Xenopus tropicalis: one gene and its partners. The protein of the gene in region 3 interacts with the protein of the main gene of each other region in a biochemical or structural test. Links are inferred from orthologs where the notes say so. Each region holds a gene or a part of one and is shown on either strand. Other genes may lie near its edges. The genes, in order: tgs1, thra, ncoa6, thrb and rara.

What was found.
Region 1: the proteins of ncoa6 (region 3) and tgs1 form a complex in vitro, tested with the Homo sapiens proteins (2 studies listed by BioGRID). The link is inferred for Xenopus tropicalis from reciprocal best matches to the Homo sapiens genes NCOA6 and TGS1.
Region 2: the proteins of ncoa6 (region 3) and thra form a complex in vitro, tested with the Homo sapiens proteins (2 studies listed by BioGRID). The link is inferred for Xenopus tropicalis from reciprocal best matches to the Homo sapiens genes NCOA6 and THRA.
Region 4: the proteins of ncoa6 (region 3) and thrb form a complex in vitro, tested with the Homo sapiens proteins (2 studies listed by BioGRID). The link is inferred for Xenopus tropicalis from reciprocal best matches to the Homo sapiens genes NCOA6 and THRB.
Region 5: the proteins of ncoa6 (region 3) and rara form a complex in vitro, tested with the Homo sapiens proteins (3 studies listed by BioGRID). The link is inferred for Xenopus tropicalis from reciprocal best matches to the Homo sapiens genes NCOA6 and RARA.

The regions. Positions count from the first base shown.
Region 1 is NC_030682.2:115,602,155-115,605,669, reverse strand, and holds part of tgs1 (trimethylguanosine synthase), read right to left. Parts: intron 2,816-3,515; coding exon 2,017-2,815; intron 1,738-2,016; coding exon 1,623-1,737; intron 1-1,622. UniProt on the Homo sapiens protein: Catalyzes the 2 serial methylation steps for the conversion of the 7-monomethylguanosine (m(7)G) caps of snRNAs and snoRNAs to a 2,2,7-trimethylguanosine (m(2,2,7)G) cap structure.
Region 2 is NC_030686.2:9,072,152-9,075,666, forward strand, and holds part of thra (thyroid hormone receptor alpha), read right to left. Parts: intron 2,172-3,515; coding exon 1,966-2,171; intron 1-1,965.
Region 3 is NC_030686.2:41,065,886-41,069,858, forward strand, and holds the start of ncoa6 (nuclear receptor coactivator 6), read left to right. Parts: upstream 1-1,160; 5' UTR 1,161-1,353; intron 1,354-3,118; 5' UTR 3,119-3,237; intron 3,238-3,337; 5' UTR 3,338-3,372; coding exon 3,373-3,598; intron 3,599-3,726; coding exon 3,727-3,882; intron 3,883-3,967; coding exon 3,968-3,973. UniProt on the Homo sapiens protein: Nuclear receptor coactivator that directly binds nuclear receptors and stimulates the transcriptional activities in a hormone-dependent fashion. Coactivates expression in an agonist- and AF2-dependent manner.
Region 4 is NC_030682.2:46,716,347-46,720,306, reverse strand, and holds the start of thrb (thyroid hormone receptor beta), read left to right. Parts: upstream 1-1,157; 5' UTR 1,158-1,438; coding exon 1,439-1,766; intron 1,767-3,960.
Region 5 is NC_030686.2:8,758,060-8,762,249, forward strand, and holds the start of rara (retinoic acid receptor alpha), read right to left. Parts: upstream 2,806-4,190; 5' UTR 2,310-2,805; coding exon 2,141-2,309; intron 1-2,140. UniProt on the Homo sapiens protein: Receptor for retinoic acid. Retinoic acid receptors bind as heterodimers to their target response elements in response to their ligands, all-trans or 9-cis retinoic acid, and regulate gene expression in various biological processes.

The DNA of each region.
Region 1 (3,515 bases), on a different chromosome or scaffold from region 3:
TTGCGGGCAACTAATCTCCCTGTGTGCCAGAACCCTAAGAGGCAAAGAGCACATAAAGATAATGAAAAATAAAAAAGGAGAGGGTAGTGGAGAAAGAAGACAATACAATTAGAGAAGGGGTTTTCGAGAAGAAGCAAAAATTGGATGAAGTGAAAATCAGTTGTGAAGTGGGGAGAAATGAGCAAAAATAAGGAGAAGGGACTGGCAAAGAGAACAACCAACAAGTGAGAATTGAAAAGCAAAATAAAGGGGAGAGAAGGGAATAGTTCAAGAAAAAGGGGTTGGGAAATGAATGGTAAAGTGGTAGAGAAGCAGTGCGGGTTTATGGAAAGGGAGGGGTTAAAAGTGAAAATAGGAGCTAAATTGTAAGTACCTACATAAATAGGGAACAGACACCCACAATTTAAGAAAGAATAAAAGGACAAAAGACACTGTTCAAGAGAAGAAAATTCTGGTAAAAAGGTTTTATATATGCGTAAGGACATTTGTCAAGATTGCATAGGATGTCTGATTGACCAGCTTGTATTAGTGTTTAGAAACCAGGTAGTAAGCACAACAGAGACCCTTTCCGCACGCCCTGGCTCACCAAAATAATGAACGGTGCACACTGCTGGAGGGATCAGCACCCTCCCAAAACCAACTTGGCAACAAAAGCAAATGGCACACAGAGCTACGAACTAGGGAACAAGCCCTTTAAAGTTTTATTGCGGAGGTGTAACGTTTCGGTGCAGAATAACCCCTTTATCAAGCATAAAAAAAATCAGTGAAAGCACAAAAAATTTATACACAATTCATTAGCCACATCCCCAAAGTTAATTGGTAAATTGAATAAATACTTCATCAACCACAGTGGTGTTATATTGGAACAACCAAACAAATTCCAATACAATACATTAAATAAAGTGCATTATATACATAATATGTCTGTTAACATCTCAGATAAAATGCATTAAATACATAGTATAACAGCCAATAATACATTGAAACTTCATTGTGCAAAAGTGAACCGTTTTCCTCCCTGTTCCAAACACAGTCTCATGACAGAGTGAAAACAAATGTATCATAGGAGGAGAGAGTCCACTGGATACTAAAACAAAGTGCCCATGTGAAGTTAAAATGTTGCAAACTGAACCCTAGTCAAAAACATTCCTTACAAGAATCACAATCCAAAATAATAAGATTTCTTACCCTAACCTGAAGGGAAAAGGTATGTATCCCTGCTGCGTATAGAAACCAGGTAGTGTCTCATGCTATATCTATGTGCATCGTAACCTGGGCTTGGGGTGCTTGACTGTTAGGCATGAAAAGATGCCTAGGGGAAAAAAATTGCATTGGAAATTCTTAGAATCTAAAATAAAATTAAAAAAAAAAAAATAAAAATAATATTTTGGAATAATATTTTTCCTTATCAAATAAATTAGGGGAAATTATGGTACTGTAGCCATTTATAGATTTCTCTTACAGTAGCAACAGGACATCTCTCTGTGGAGGGGTAATTTCAGAATTAGTACAAAAAACACTCAAGATTGCCATTTTTACTACTGTCCTAAGCAGCATATTTTGCTTTTCCTTCAACAAAAAAAAGGTCATCTGCAAAAGAAAGCACACAACAAGGGTTTTACCTTCTCTTGATTTTAGCTTGTTTGCACTCAGGCGGTTCATCATCTTCCTCATCTCCATCCTTCAAGATGGCTGAGGGACTGGTCCGCCAATATGAACCTGAAGACCTTTGAGACACTAAAGCAAAATAGGAAATACCTATAAGCAAGAAACTTCACCATCCCACACTAACTACCTATCGATAATTATAGGGCTAAAAGCACAAGCACGTTTATAGAGTACTCTAGAGTAACAGCAGCAATACAGACATATAAGCGGAGACAATACAGGAATTGAACAAAGGTCTTGTAGCCCATGACGACTGCGCATGCTGCAAAGCTAGAATGCTTACAAATTTGTTTGCCATCACAAACAAGTTTGTTGTTGATAAAAGCTACTAGGAAAAAGTTTACAGACCTGGCGGGCTTGTATCTGTATGTCCAGATGCTGCATACTTTTTCCCCGTTCCATCACTAGGCTCATTCTGGTTAGGATCAGGACAATGCTTTCCAAAGCTTTCTGGGGTTTGCAGCTGATTGCCCTCATTAATAACACTTAGAGAAGGATGGCCTTGATCACTTTCCTCTGTATCAAGATTAATGTTGCTCATAGATTTTACAAGAGTTTTGCAATGGTCTTCCTGAAGGCAATCACTGTCTCCAGCAGACATCCTGGGGCTGATGTTAAGGTTGCTTTCATCTGCACTCTGGGATTGTATTTCACTGATTTTAGACACATTGGGTGCATCAAAAGTCCACCCTTGATTAGACCAGTACTGAAACTGTTCAAAATAGCTCCAGTAACATTCATTATAACATTTATCCCATTCATCCTTGGTATCAGCAGAGCTCCAGGGTTCAAGGCTACAAAGCTCTCCTGACAAGGATAGCTCTGGATGCTTTTCAACCCAGTGCTGCCATAATAACCCTTGGCCATACTGATTCCAATATTCTTCCCATTTGTCTTTTACATGAGACTCTGTGGAGGGTGCATTTAGAGTAGATGATTCAGTTGTATTGACATCCTTATGATTTACATTACAGCCACCTTGTATATCAGCTTGCTCAGGATCTGCAGGAAATTCTTCTTCACAAGAATGGCTGGCGTTGTGGGCTAGCTCTTCTATTGCTTCTTGGATACGCTCAGCTAAAGGTCTCTTGCATTTGGTCTTTCTCTTCTTCCAAATTTTATTCACCTTTTCACAAGAATCCAGTGGCTAGAGAAAATTTATATCATTCCTCAGTATTAAATATGGCTGCAGACAGAAGCATTCACAAAACAAGAATTAAATAGAAATTTCCCTGCTAGTGGAAGGCTACAAGTTAACAATACATTGTTAAGCGCTGCGTACATAAGTAGCGCTTTATAAAGATATACATACATACATACATTCTGTCAAACTAAATGACAGAATTTTATGTAAAAAGAAATTGAACTGAACAAGGCTCAAAGTTTGCTTCAAGTTTAACAACTCTCCACCATCGATCACATTTCTAGCTCTTAAAATATTAGGAGTGAGTGTTTTATTAGCACATCCCAGTCTAGGGTAACCGGATGTAGAATATGTGATGTGGATCACGGAGGAGGGTCAAAGAAAGTGTAGACCCAACTCAAGTTATGTACATAACCCTATTCATGAACGTAAGGGCATATTATATTTAATGTAATTTACTGGTGCATAAAAAAAAAAAAAAATTATATATGATTTCTTTTGTACCAATATTTGAATATGGTTTTTTCCTACGTAAAAGTGCTTAATGTCTGCAGCTAGCAAAACTATTATATCATTTAGGATATGGGATGCTCACTAATGTATTTTGCAAGCCGCTATTTGACATCTGGTAGACCTCTACCAAAAAAAAGTCAGCATACAAATTTGAGTGAACGTTAGTCAAACAAGACCGGAATTTTTTTAA
Region 2 (3,515 bases), about 32 Mb from region 3:
CAGAAGGCAGGGCTATACACAGGCGCAGGTAACAGAAGGCAGGGCTATACACAGGCACAGGTTATAGAAGGCAGGGCTATACACAGGCACAGGTTATAGAAGGCAGGGCTATACACAGGCACAGGTTATAGAAAGCAGGGCTATACACAGGCACAGGTAACAGAAGGCAGGGCTATACACAGGCGCAGGTAACAGAAGGCAGGGCTATACACAGGCACAGGTAACAGAAGGCAGGGCTATACACAGGCGCAGGTTATAGAAGGCAGGGCTATACACAGGGAGGGAGATGGGTACCAGATTGTGCTAATATGTACCAAGGAATAGGAACCGCTAAGAACTGAGGGATGAGTAACAAAACGGACTGCTAAGTGCCAAGGAATAGGTTTTATAAATGTACTTCTAAGCACTAAAGCATGGGTACCCGACTGCTAAGTATCAAAATGGAATAATAAGCACTGAGGCTTGGCTACCAGGGCAGGCTGCTATAAACTGAGGAATAGGTACCAGTAATCTACTGCTAAGCACTGAGGGAGGGCCACCCTAATGGAATGCTAAGTGCCAAGGAATGAGCATTAGAAATGTACTACTAAACACTAAAGCTTGGGTGCTACACCGCTAAGTACCAAAACAGACTACTAAACACCAGGGCATGGGTGTACTGATTTACTGATGAGCACTGAAGCATGGGTACCCCAAAAGGCATTGGTACCAAAAATGTACTGAAGAACACATAGGCCAACAGACTTCTAAGCACCCATACCAAAACCGTATGGCTAAGTGCCGAAGCTGGGGACCCAAACTGACTGCTGAACACTGAGGCATGAGTGAACACAGAGACACTATAAAGGAATCAGACATATATTGGAGCAGAATAGAAGGAAATCACTCAGGGCAGGCATGATTATGCACTGCTGTACAGAAAGAAAAATAAGAGGAGGCACTGTTGCATTTGGCAAGAAGCAAAGACTTTGCTACACAAATAAAGAGCATAAAGGGCACAGATCTGTGCTGCAGCACACTGGTACAATTCCCTATTACACACAGATAATGACACCAGTAGCATATATACAGGGGTTAATAGCAGGCTGCATTGCTGCAGAGAGGAACATATACTAATTAACACAACACTAATTACAGGGTACTGATGACAGATTTCAATGCAGCACTTATAGGCATGGATGCCATACTGCTCTGCTGCAGAGAGAGTGAAAGGCACAAGTACCCCCTTGCTGGGCAGCATAGAGGGTGCAGTGTGTATCTACCCCAACTGCACTAAAGGACAGGGGAATACAAATTTGGGGCAGAAATATATGGCTACAATAAAAAATAAGGAAGACTGCACCATTATTCTGCACACACAGACCAGACGGTGCCTTTGACAATGCACTAAACTTGCTTTCTACATTGCCATCTGCGTGCTGACCTATGTTGAAGTCTAGGCAAACTCTTTGGAAACCCCGGCGCTGGGGCAGGGGGCACGAGCTGGAGGGCAACAGATGCTGCTTGCTCTCTCCAAGGGGTCACAGCTTCTCCATCTGCACAGGAAGTTCCCTTACGGAAATCCCAGGGATTCCCTGCTGTATCCTGCAAAGGCTACTTTACTACATAGCTGTGCATCGCCGCTCCCCGTTGGACTGTTCAAGGGGAGCACGGAGGGGAAATCAAAGGTATTAGGGTACCAGAATCAATAAACAGCTGTCTAGGTGCTCTATATAAGCTCTCCTATACCTCTCCCAAACATTAACATTATATATATCCCTGCAGTTTGCCTGCTCTTACTGAAACACTTTCCATTGTTAGACACGTCTGTTTCCTGTAATTATGACCAACTCCATATGGTCTCATTTTTAATTTATGAATAGCTCCCAAGCTGCTCCAACTTAAAACTCCACCCATGGCTCTGCGGCCCAGAACGATGGCCGCCATATATCTACTGTACTACATTGAATTCTTCATCAGCCTCACCAGAAACTTCCTACGCTGTTTCCAGTGGCTGCCCTGAGCGTTGGTGCTCCTGTGAGCTTCTGTTACGATGCGAATCAACTCCCACTCCTCTTTGCTGGGCTCTGGACGCTGTTGCAGAGTCTTGATCATCTCCTCCTTCCGCCGCCGCTCTCGATTCTCTTCAATCAGTTTTCGCTTGGCTACCCGCTTGGTATCATCCAGGACAACTGGGGAGATGGAGAGAGACAGACAGGGAGAGCAGTGAGAATAAAAGAGGTGAAGGTGAACAGAATTAAACGGATGAGGAGAAAAACATAATAGACTCAAGGAAACAAAGGCAAGCCAACATAAAAAAATAGACAGATTCCAGTGTGAAACAGGAATGTATAAGGACTGATATTGAAAAATGAGAGAAAGAGGGGAAAAAAGGCAGAGGGTGAGAACTCTGTGAGCATGGACATTGAAGGAGACATACTGTGTGGAAATTAAGAATGTGCCTGGGCATTATATTCCTCTAAACATGGTGAGAAAAGTAGCGTTTTGGGTTGATTTATTGAAATAACCCCCCCAAACCCTACTAGCCCTGCCCATCTGTCCCACTTCCATCCACTTCCTTTCCCAGGCTGTGCAGGGGGGCCGGCGGCACTCAGCACACTGCCCTGTAGGATAGGAACCAATCAGCAGCTAGGCTGACCTGATAGAGAACTGAAGCCCGTCTTTCCCTGGGTGACTGGAGGGCTGTGATTGGCTATCCCTCTCCTACTGTGCTTCTAGCATGGACAATTAGGACTCATCCACCTCTTATTTGGAACACTCACAGGGACCAGAGAGGATAATATTTAGTAAAACTGGCACCACTTATAATTCATTATTGCCTACAAGCTTGGAGGGGTTTACAGTTATACTATATGTCTCCGTTAAGATGTTCAGAGCAGTGCTGGATTGGGCCAACTAGGGCTCCTCCTGATATTCAGGCACAAACTAGCAACTTAATAAAGAAATCAGTGCAAAAATGGAAGAGAAGCTCTTGTTTTAAAGCCATGGATACAGCGTATGATTAGATAATCATGTGGTGCTTCAATAAATGCGCAATAAAAAACTGAAGCCTATAAGTATAAATGGGAACTCATCAGACATTCATCCGAAGGCTTGAGAAAGGATAAGTGCTACCTGATTTCCTCCATGACCCCATTGTTGGTTGCCATGTCAGTGGGTTTCTCCCCATGGATTTGTATGCAAAGTCATAAAAACACCCTGATCATAATGAGAAGTGTAAGTGGAATGCTGTATGCAAGGGTAACCACACAGTATTATAGACCAGACTGGCGTACATGGCGACCCAGCCACCATAGTTGACCCGAAACTGTTTCTTTTGGGAAGAATGGGCCTAAATTCCCCCAGGCCTATGGAAGACGCTGATGAAACGCTGAAGGAAATGTTTATTTGAAGTTCCTGCTGCTCTACAAGGTGCCACCGGTTGCTGAACGAAGGGTTTGCATACTTCATGCAGGAATATTTAGTGCTGAATAAATAAGCAAAATGTCTCCATTTTTGGTCTGGTTTATTTGAGT
Region 3 (3,973 bases):
AGCCATTCCTGCACTGGTACAGCTGGGGTGTTTGCTACAGAAACCCTACTATAGTTTATATAAATACCCCGCTGTGTAGCCCCGGGGGCAGCCATTCCTGCACTGGTACAGCTGGGGTGTTTGCTACAGAAACCCTACTATAGTTTATATAAATACCCCGCTGTGTAGCCCCGGGGGCAGCCATTCCTGCACTGGTACAGCTGGGGTGTTTGCTACAGAAACCCTACTATAGTTTATATAAATACCCCGCTGTGTAGCCCGGGGGCAGACATTCAAGCTGGAAAAAAGGAGAAAAGGCACAGGTTACATAGCGAATAACAGATAAGCTCTGTAGAATATAATGGGGCTTTATCTGTTATCTGCTATGAGCCTCTGCCTTTTCTCCTTTAGGGCTCTGGCACACGGGGAGATTAGTCGCCCGCGACAAATCTCCCTGTTCGCGGGCGACTAATCTCCCCGAGTTGCCATCCCACCGGCGAACATGTAAGTCGCCGGTGGCACACGCGGCGGCGCGATTTCGGCAAATGCAGTACATTATATCTTAATTATTTTTATACACTTTCATTTCTTGGTGTTACTGTTCCTTTAAGAGCTATAACTCTCAGCATTCCTTCATGCCGTTTGCTGGATCTATTAACCAGAAACCCATCTCTGGAATGTTTTACAACATGTGCTGTTTCACACAGAGCCCTATGGTTGCAAAAATGTTTCAATAATTTTTCTCTCTGAAATAATAAAGCAGAACAATAAACTTCAAAGAAAATAATCTGCATAAATCCATTTTGGTGGTTTTTTTTAAAAAAAAATGTCTTTTTTAGCAGCCTTAAAAAAAAAACCACCAGAAAGGACCCTTATCCATAAAAGCCAACTTCCCAAGCCTGAAGGCTGTATTAGCAGAACATCCCAAGCGCTAAACTATAAAACATCCCTAAAGCTGTGGGACAGGTGTCTCTGTCCCTGTCATGGAGGTCAGACGGTGTCAGCATCCCCTCCACACTGAAACACTTCCTTTCATTGCGCACAACCTCGCCCATTTTCTGGCAAGTCCCGCCCACTTTCTGGCAAGCCGTAGCCCTGCCTAGCACGGAACTACCCCCGTACTCCTCTCCTGGGCTCAGCCGCACTGACGTCACGCCTCTCGCCAATCCATTGGTCGGGCGGACTCTACCATTTTGACAGGGGTGTACGCAAGCGCGGCTTCCTTGCAGTTTAGTGCTTATTGTGAGGTCAACACCCCCCTGCCGCTTGCAGCTAGTGGTACGGGCTGGGCCTCGTTGCTGTTCGTTGTTCCCGGGAGCGGAAGGAACCAAGTGTCCGGTGCGAGGTGAGGGGGGTGCACAATAATGAGAATGGGTATGTTTGTTATATGCATGCATAACTGGGCCTGTATGGCGAAATGTAAACATTGTAACTGTGCATTTGGTCTTATATCTGCCATTAACACCTATTCGTACCTACTGGGTAGCTGGAGTCCTATGCACTGCAAATGTCTGCTTGCATAATAGACAGTGTGTGTAATGAAGGCATTTTACTTACCCTTTAATGTTTCTTTATAGTGGGATTTAGGTACTGTGGGGCTGCACTAGCCCTTATGTTACAACCCTCTAGTGTAATTTATATTTGATATTGACATCCATCATATAGATATAGGCATTATGGTTGAACGTGATGGACGTATGTCTTTTTTCAACCCAACTTACTATGTTACTATCATTAGGGTGTGCTTATTTACAAGGACATATTTAACTGTAAGCCCCATCAGCATTGTGATATAAGTGAGATATAAGGACCCAGTGGCTTTATTAATGTCCCCCCTATCCTATCCTTTTCACCCTGTGGCTGGTGAGGGCTGCTGGGATATGCAGCAAAGGGTTGGGTGCTGTTTATAGGGCTAGAGCATCAGGCTTTACACCACATATTGCTTAATAAAGTGCTGCATAACGTGTTGGCGCTTTATAAGTAAATGATGATGATGTCTCCAGATCCATAGAAGTGGCAGGTATAGAAGGTCCCACCAATTTGCCTTCCCTCTTTCAGTGCTACGGGGGCTGTGAGTGACCAGTTATGGACTTGATAAGAAGGTAGGCAGCAGGCACATCTTTGCTAAACTATATAATAATGGTGCTTAGTTGTCACCCCTGTGTCATCAGGTAGATAATGACCCAGGCCTGGGTTTATTTAACCTTCTTCTCCTTTACAACAATGGCAAGTTTACAGATTTATGAAAACGTTCATCCTGCGATTGTTCCAAGAATGGCTAGGAACTTATGTTGCTCAACATCATGGTCTTCAAGGAATATCTAAGCCAATCATCATGCATCCCCAGTCTCACCCAAACTGCCCTTTAGGCTGGGCAAGGCAGGGGCTAATGTGATGAGCTGGTATAGTTACTGATGTACTGATATTAGGTTTTAGTTTGAGGATTTGGAAGAAGTCAAAGCATTAAGTATCTTAAAGAGGTGAAATATTAAATATAAGAAGGTTGCTAGGCTAGGGCTGGAGGGGGTCGATATGACAATAACGAGACACGACTAAGGCAAAGTTGATGCACTCTGAATTGTACAAGTATTTGAATTGCATTTATAAATATTTGTCATTTCAGTTCACATCCATAGCCAACAGCATATGCTTACGTACCAATGACTAGCATATGTTTAGCCAGTGATGTTGTAAGCTCAGAGTGCCTTCAGTGAAGGTCGTCCTATCCTCAGAATATACCAAAAAGTCTTTCCTTTTGTTTTTCTCCCAAATACCCTTGAGATAACTGGTTATCTGGACATGCATGCTATGATCTGCTTGTTTAGCGCTAACCCCATGGATATTTGTCCAAATCACATGATTAGTCTCCGCCTGGGTAATGTTGAGGCCTGTATAGACCTATTGGGAATGGACCAAGGTGGTCAGTTTTTTCAGCTAACCCAGTTAATATCTGTCTGTCTGGCCAAATTGCATAATACTCAGTGGCCATTGTTTAAACACTAAGGGCAGTGCAATTTACAGCTGAGATGGAAGGGGGAAGCAATTAGCCCTCCATAGACTTTTGTGGTTATCACCAGTGAAGGGGGGGGTAAATTTTTTTCTTCACTCGTATCTAAGTTATTTATAATTTTCTCAACAGGCTAACAAATTGGAGATCCTGGTAGTGGAAATAACTGAAGATGCCTGCCTCTGCCATTCATCTGACAAAATCAGACGGTGTAGAAACGTAGGAAAAGGGAAGAACTTGGAACATTATTGGTAAGGGAACTGCAAATCCAGGTTGTACGTTTGTACATTTATTTTTTATAGATATGAGCTCTGACATTTTGTGTGTTGTGTTTTTTTGACTCCTCAACAGAGTGTCATTGTCACAGAGTTGGAAGACACACGGTCATGGCCTCCCACTACCTTCCTGACCCAGGAGAGCCCCAGACCAGACCTCCTGCGTCCCCTTCACAACCGCAAGATGGAGACACCGACTCCGGAATAGAAGATGAGCTCAGATTAGAAGAAGCAGACTCTACCATTTTCTTGGCTTTCAAGGGAGATATTGGAGACACTGATTTCCAGCAAAAGCTAGACAAGATTTTGAATACTGTTCCAAGCCTCGTTAGCATGGGTATAGTAATCAACTTATTCAGGGGCATGGGGGGTGGGGGGGGCAAATACATGATCTCCCTGGGTTTCCCTGTGCTAGTCGGTAACATGCAAACAAACTCATTCAAATTGCATGTCCTCCCTGTGTAGAGTCCGACCAGCTGAGAGTTCAGAAGGTGGAGCCATGGAACAGCGTCAGGGTAACGTTCAACATCCCAAGGGAAGCGGCTGAGCGGCTGCGCCTCCTCGCTCAGAGTAACAACCAGCAACTACGGGACCTAGGAATTCTGTCTGTCCAAATTGAAGGTATAACCGTATTGCTTCTGCCCTTGTTTTTTGTCTTTTTATAATTGGTCCTTTGCATATTTCCTTACGCTGAAATATATTTTAGGGGAAG
Region 4 (3,960 bases), on a different chromosome or scaffold from region 3:
CCAATTTAATGAATGTGAGTACACAAAGTTTTAACTATCATTTATTTCACTGTTCTAATTTCGCCACCCAGTGAGCCAAATATCCTGTTTGCCAAATGTACAGAATTAAAACTGTTTAAAATTTGTGGTATAATATAAAAGTAGTTTCAGAGTCTTTCAGTAGCCAAAAAGGGCAATAAATGTGAAGGACTGCATGTGTCCTGTAAACCTCCAGCTGGGCATCAGTGACAAGTTTTTGAAATTCAGTGTGGCCTATTTAGAAAAATTCTAATTTGTGATTTTTTTTCACATTATTAAGCAATCAAGTTTTTGAGATTCAGGTTTTTTTAATTAATAAGCACACATCCAAGTTTTTTCCAATTAATTAAAACTAACCAAACTCGATCTTATGCTTATTGATTAAAAAACCTGAATCTTAAAAACCTGATTGCTTATAAACATGACAAAAAGTTTGCATTCTACAACAACATTTTATGTAAATAAGCCACTTCCTACTGGCTATGTTCATAATTCTACCAATACAGTGATAAACAACACTTACCATTTATTTATCTGTATTTTTATTTCTATAGCTGTAACATGTGAGTTAGACACTCAAGAGACAGTCAAGCAGTGAAAAGGGACATTTTTAAACTTTGACCTTGCTAATTTATTAGACATAAACAGGAGGTGATTAGTCAACATTTTAAATTTCTTCTATATAAGTATAAATAGACAAACAATGCATTTCACAGGCTGTTCAAACCAAGCACAATGTTCAGTTGTAGCAAAGCTGGCACATAAATGGCAATCAATACTTGAAGATCTGTGCCTAACAAGCAGTTAATGCTGTAACACCAAATCAATATGATCAATACAACTAAACAGCAGATTAAGATGCTAACACGTTTACCTTTTATGTTCTGTTATGGGTCATCTAGGTTCTGCTATTGGAAATCTAAAGGGATATAGTTAGATTCTGGATTATTGATTTTAGGATTTACCATAGCCCTATGTCTTTGTTAGGCTTTTCCCGTTGGTTGTCAAATAAACTATAAGCACTCGTATGTCACCATGACAGAATGAATAGAAGTTTGCAAAGTTCTTGTAAAATCTTAATTCAGCATAAGATTGGTGTCAAGCTTGCCTTGTGTTCTGCCTCTAATGCGCTCTGCTACCTGTCTGTGCTACCATCTTTACCAGGATTTAGCCTGCAGATTAGGACCTTAAACTGTCATAAATCTCTTTTCCAACATGTTTGGCTGCTGGAGTTGCTCAGAAGCATCCCAGATATAAATAGGATCTTAGTACACAAGGTGCTGCTTCAAGGAGAATCACAGTGTTTTGAGTCAGCTTTTAGTGCCCGTTGTATATTCATTGCTCCATTCCTGGTTCTATGTCTATGCATGCAGGTGGCTGTTGTGTATACGTAAGGTAGAACTTTAGCTCGCATAGCAAAATGAACTATTGCATGCAAGAATTCTATGATGTGCACCAGGCTGCTGCTAACAACTGCTGCATGCAGCCTCCTGATTATTGCACGTATATTGAAGATAGTCAGAGCTACAGCAGTTCTGAGGCTCAGGTCCTACACAACAATAACATATATATGGAACAGGCCTGGGCGGTGAATCAACCTTATACCTGTAGTTACCCTGGAAACATGTTTAAAAGCGAGTACTCTGAAATGGACATGGCCCTGAATCAGTACAGCCAACCCGAGTATTTCACTGAAGAAAAAACTACTTTTCCACAAAGGCAGTCTCCGATGTACTCGCAGAAAAAAGGTAGGGGCAATTTTATACCGGGCTTCTTTCTTTTTTTCTATAATTTCGAAGAGCAGTTACCTTTGTGCATGTGCATTCACCTCCAGCGCTGTATAAGGTCGGAAAAGTTGCAGGTTTTTAATACACATTTTTATTTTTAAGCTTGTTTCTAATCAACCCAAAGCCGTGATCCAGGTTGCTAGGAGATTAAATGTTTTCTTCCTCCAGGCAATGGGAATTTTATACTTTTTATTTTTATCTTGCATTCTGTTTTCTTCTTATTTGTAGGGTACCCCCACCCCATGTAATTAGGCATCCTTTATAATAACCCTGCAAGGATGTGCTTTGTGCCATGCCGGAGTACAGTCCCATTGTTTTCTAGCTGTTTATCTTGCCTTTCTTTGTTTGTGAAATCTGTAGCCACGACCTGCAGATTTGGGCACCGTATCAGCATGAAAAGGGACATAATTTCTTGTCTTCAAATAAAGCAAGGTTCAGTTATTGGCAGTGAGCAGCAGCCTGTCCTTATCTATGTACAGACAACATTGATGGCAGCTAATCTTCAGCCTGTTGCATTTATTTGAGATTAACCCTGATATTACAGTAGTACAGCACAATCTAACTAGCTACATTGCAGTAATGCAGGCTATTTCTTATACTTCATTTACCAGTTAGAATTGTACTTTAACTTTTTACTGCAAGCATTGTTTTGATTTGGCATGACGCTCCCCTTCCTGCTGCTATCTTCAGTCAAAAATGTTCATTATACCATTCCTACCTATATGGTTTTTTTTAGCAGCAACAGGTACTTTGTGCATTCTCTTATTTCGCTTCAGGGATTTGTGGCACATCAGTAGAGTATAAATAGTGTCCGTGACTCACAAACTGAGCTGATTGTACAGTTTAATATATAATATACTCATAGACCAGGCTGTGGCTTTATTTATTAGAGACTGGGGTGCCCACAGATTTCACCTAAAAGTTCTCTAGAAAGCCTATAGAATTGAATGGGGCAGAATTATTTTGCTGTGAATTTTGTGGTGAGTTGTCTGTGTCCATAGATAGATATGCCCCTGATTTTATTATCCATTTATTTTCATTAATATATGTTTTCTATGATTTTATTTTCTCGATTCATTGTTTTACACCACTGTGCATAGCATTTTTAACTATTAAACAATTTATTTTTTGTACTGTAACAACAATTCTATATATATGATATAGGGGCTATGTTTTTTCTTTTACATTTAGCTTTAAATGTAGTTGTATATATATATATATATTCTATACATTTTTCCTATTTTTGTAATTTATATTTTTCATCAGCTTAGCCAAAGCCACTAATTAATAGTTCCTTTTTCACATATTGCCTAATAAGATTTGATAGAAATGTTTTTTTTTTCAACTTGTTTTAAAAAATATGAATACAATTTTATTATTTAACTACTTAACATTAAATGTATATTAGTAAGTGTAAATTCGTGGCATCTGATAATTTATCTTTGCATTTGTATATTATTTTTTACCTTGCCTCCTAGGTTCAAGGATACAACAAGTTTTTTACCAAGATATATTTTTTAAACGCCTGTTTATTGAATTTTCTATAAAATTCAATTAACCCTAGGACAGAAGGTTCCACAAAGGACATGCTTGGGCTTATTGATCAAAATTGATTTGAATTTAATGAAGACTCTATAACAACTCATTAAATACAATTAAGAAAAAGAACAGGTGTCCCATTTCAACCTTTATTATTGAAGCTGTGTCTTACACTCAGAAAATGTAATACTGATTGTTTGAATGTAATGGCTAGACAGTTCAATATGTTTCCAGTAAGAACTGAACTGTTCTTCTGTTAGGTGAAAATATAGTTTAATGTAAAATTAGATATCTTATTTACTGGATACTACCATATTTATTCACAATTTCAGAAGAAATTTATCTTAATTTTGTATTCCCTTTTCTCCTGTTATAAAGCAAGGTTTTCACTTTTTCTACCTATCATACAGCATTGGAAGTAGCCATGATCAAGTCTTTAACATGTTGAATGCTCACATTTGTCATCCATAATATACACAGCGGCATGGGTTGCCATGTCCTCCTTTAATTACTGGCATTATGACATACTTAAAGCAGGGCTTCCAAAGCTCTAGCACAATTCTTTATATTTCATTTTCTTCAAATGGTCAGCAGATAAAGGTATGAGGTTGCCAAC
Region 5 (4,190 bases), about 32 Mb from region 3:
GCTTCCCAAAATACTACCACAAACCCACAAAATCAAGGACAAGTAACCATAATAAACTTTAGTGCTGACGTGAGCGTATTGGCTACACTGTGCCTTTAATTCTCCACTGTATTAATCTAATAGTCATATACACGGCCCGCATTAAAAATACAATTAAGGGGCAGTTCACCTTTATATTAACTTTTGGTGCAATGTAGAGAGTACTATTCTGAGTTAATTTGCAGTTGGTCTTTTATTTTTTTTATTATTTAGGTTTTTAAGTGGCAACTCTCCAGTTTGGTATGTCCAGCAGCTATCCGGTTGCTGGGGTCCAATTTAACCTAGCAACCAGGCAGTGGATTGAAAGAGAGACAGAGATATGATAGAGGAGGGCCTACATAGAAATGTAAGTAATACAAAGTAACAATAACAATAAAACTGGAGCCTCACAGAGCAATAGGTTTTTGGCTGCCGGGGTCAGTGACCCCCATTTGAAAGCTGGAAAGAGGCAGAAGAAGGAGCAAATAATTAAAAAACTATACAAAATAAAAATGAAGACCAACTAAAAAGTTGCAAAGAATAGGCCACTCTGTAACAGAGTTAACTACCCCTGTAATGAAAAGGTTTCACAATCTGGCTGCACTGCTGGTTCTGACTACTGAAACAATGCAGGGATACCCCGGAGGAGGCTGGACTTCTGCTACATGTGAGAGTCCCAGAGGACAGGAAGGCCCAAATGCTGCTTTGATTTCATTTATCAATTACAAAAAACCACTAGAATGTATAATGAATTTATATCGGCAAGTTGCTTAGGATTACATTATCGAAACAGTTTTTGGGTGCAGTTGCCCTTTAATGCTCCATACCATACACTGCAGCCACATTGTTATCCGACTGCTGCCCACCAGCATATCCGGCTATACTTTTTTACACAGAGGGGTAAAGGAAGAGTTAAGTGGAGCCACGTTTTAGGGTGAAGACACACAGAGCTACTTAGTAGCAGCTACTTGTCACAGCGACAGAAACAGACAATGCTGATCATTTACTGATAACTGTCTCTACTTGTGCTTTAGCAGAGGCAATTCTCAGTATTGTCTATGGCAGGGGATTTTCTGGAGTTTAGTAGCCGTGACAAGTAGCTGCTACTAAGTAGCCCAGTGTGTCTTCACCCTAAGTGTTTGTATCAAATAGTATTATGCAGGATATTGTTATTACTACATTGAGTTTTGCCCCTATGCCCCGAGAGTTACAGAGAGACAGGAATGGTGACTTAATTACTATCAAACTGGATTGTGGGCCCAGAGGCCCATTCCTCGCTCACGGAACCGTTACAAAGACAGGGCCCAAATTCATTTACGAAAATAAACCGCTTTGAAACGATACAGCGCGGCTCGGCATGAAAATGCAAAACACATAATTTGTCATTTATTTCCATTACCCTCATTAAGTTGCATTCACCCAATAATAGCCAGAGGCAATGTAACACAGGAACTAGACCTGTACAAGTGAAGCTTGTAAGGGCATGCTGGGAGTTGTAGTTCCATAACAGAAGAACCCCCATAGGTTTGTGGATAAAGCGCTACTCTGAGAATACTGCATAGCCCAGATATGATGCTATTGTTATTATACTGGCGATATTAAAAAAAATATTCATTTCAATCCGAGCGCAATTGAGGCCTAAACGCTTATCTAGCAGTAAGTTCCCTGCGTTACTAACAGCCCCCGTATAGGGAAACGGTCTCCGGCTAGAACGTTCTACTAGCGGTAAATGAGGTTATCTTGTCATGGTCTAGAGACAGTCCCACCCACAACAGTCTAGAAAGAATTTGTTTGCCATTGTCTCCACTGCAGGACAAACAGCAAAACAAAGATCTTCCCATTAGGACAGACGGATAATCCAACTCTACGAGCGGCGCAAAGAGACTATTGTTCGGCGCACGTTATAGATTGGGATTATTTATACAGAGCATTATCCGTACAGATGTTGCCGCGGCGCATCTGGACATAGGCATTAACGTGCCACAATTACAGATGTCTTCTACGAGAATAATGGGCAATAAAATTGTCAAATTGATAATAAAATAAGAACAATAAGCCAGGCGCGAGCGGCACCGCCGCGGTACAAGGGACGGGGATTGTGGAGAGGGTATCACCTACGTACAGTGGTTGGAACTGCTCCAGTGTTGACTTCGAAGTGGCGTCCCGTAGGGATGCATGGTCCCGAGTCCTTTCTCCTGCAATAGGCAAGCCCGGTTCTGGCTATAGAAATCCATCATATGGTAGTGCGTCGGGCTAGTGCCCAAACCAGGAACGTCCACATTCTCGTACATCCTACAATCCCTTCCAAATTCACCATATAACAAAAAGAAAAGAAAAAAAAAAATGGGGGGGTGGAAGAGAATTCAGCAGTCTGGGGTTGAATTGGAATTTTTAGGGTAATAGGGGGGGAAAAACCCCAAAGATCCGGTAGGAAATTGTTATGGACTTAGGAGGAATCCCACAGCAGAGCCATTGGAGATTCTCCAAGTCGGTGGGAAATGCAGGGATGGGCTTCTGCAGGCAGATCCGCTGGGAATATCACATGGGAGACTCTCCGCACGGATTCCATCAAATAACTGGAACTGGGGGGGGAGTCCTGGGTGTAAAACGTGAACCCCACTAGCTGCATATAGGGTGGTCCGTGCAGAGCCTTTCCTTGTGTCCCAGAACCCTACATGCCCTTTCCATCATGCTGCAGCGTAGCCCAATTTTTTGCTTCTCAATCTGTTGTTCTTCCGGCTGAAGTCATGGAATCCCTGGCACAGCACAACGGGGGCAGAACCCCCACTCCGAACCACTTAATTTGGGGGGCACCCAGTTTGGCTGGGGATCAGGGAGAGTGGCAGGGGATTAAAAGGGTTGCCCGGCATGTCGATCCCTTACCTATAAGTCTTAATTAGGCCAAATCTGTTGGGGATCAGCTCCCAATCCCTACAGGGGCAGCTGGAGTCCTTGCAGGCAGATAGTGTGAGATAAGGGGCAATTCTTCTCAGCAGGGGGAAGGGGGTTGCCCTGTAATGGAAGGTCTCTCTATGGACCCCCAGTCAACTTCTCCTGCTGCAGAATCTGCACAACTTCCTGTGTGGGATCTCCTTGTTAGCACAACGGGCTCCTTGTTAGGATCAATGCTAATGGGGACGGTTATCCTTGCACCCCCAGGGGCGACCGGTGCCACAGACTGAAGGATCCCTGGTCAGACGGAGGTATTCCTGCAGGCTTCCCTGGGTATGTGGGTTACTAGGCAGAATGGAGGCTCCATGCAGAATGGGGATGCCCGGTTTCCTGGTAACGCGGCGGAGGGGCTTCCCTGCTCTCCTGTAATGGGCCGAGGCGCATTGGGGGAATACTGTTCCTCTCAGGACTGATCCCCGTGACACACACACACCGCTCAATGCTGCAAACTCTACAGCCGTGTCTCCTCCTGCCTCCTCCCCCTCCTGATGGACTGGAGGCAGCTGAGCCTCGCAAGTCAACACCCCCTATCTTTTAACCCATTGCATGCCACTGGGGGCACAGCTCAATCACAACAAAGCCTGCCCTGCCCATTTCCCACCTTCCTGTGTATTCCTGCCATGATCTAAATACCCCAACCCCCCCCTTCAATACCCCCCTCATTTGCCTAATATCATGCATGTGACCTCTCAGTGACCCTCTCGCCTCACCTCCAAACGACCCAACCGTCTCCTTCTCTCACAGTGACATCACAGACATTTCCCCCCCCCCCCCCCCGCATATTTGGGAATCAACTGACCCCTCCCCCCCCCAGTACTAGTATGGCAGGCTCCTGCTAATAAATACAAATGAGTGTATATACCCCCACACCAGCCCAACACCAGTGGCTTTATAACTTATTCTGATTTTGGCCTGACAAGTTTTTTTTTCCCCCAAAAAAAATAAAAATAAAAATCACTGACTGCTACAACTTGGGTCCCTGCTATGGGCCATGGAATGTAAGCACTGTGGGACGCCCTTCCCAGGGGGCAGCGAGGGTTTTGGGGTAATTATCACCTGAGCAACTGACAATGGTGGCCAACTACAGCAGGTAGGAGCCACCAAGATGCCTGTATGAGGGTTAAGCTGGCCATACACCTATCAATACAATCTTCATACGATTTTCGGACCATGTGTGGCCTCAGAATTATTGTCCCGATACTTTCCGTACCATGGTGATT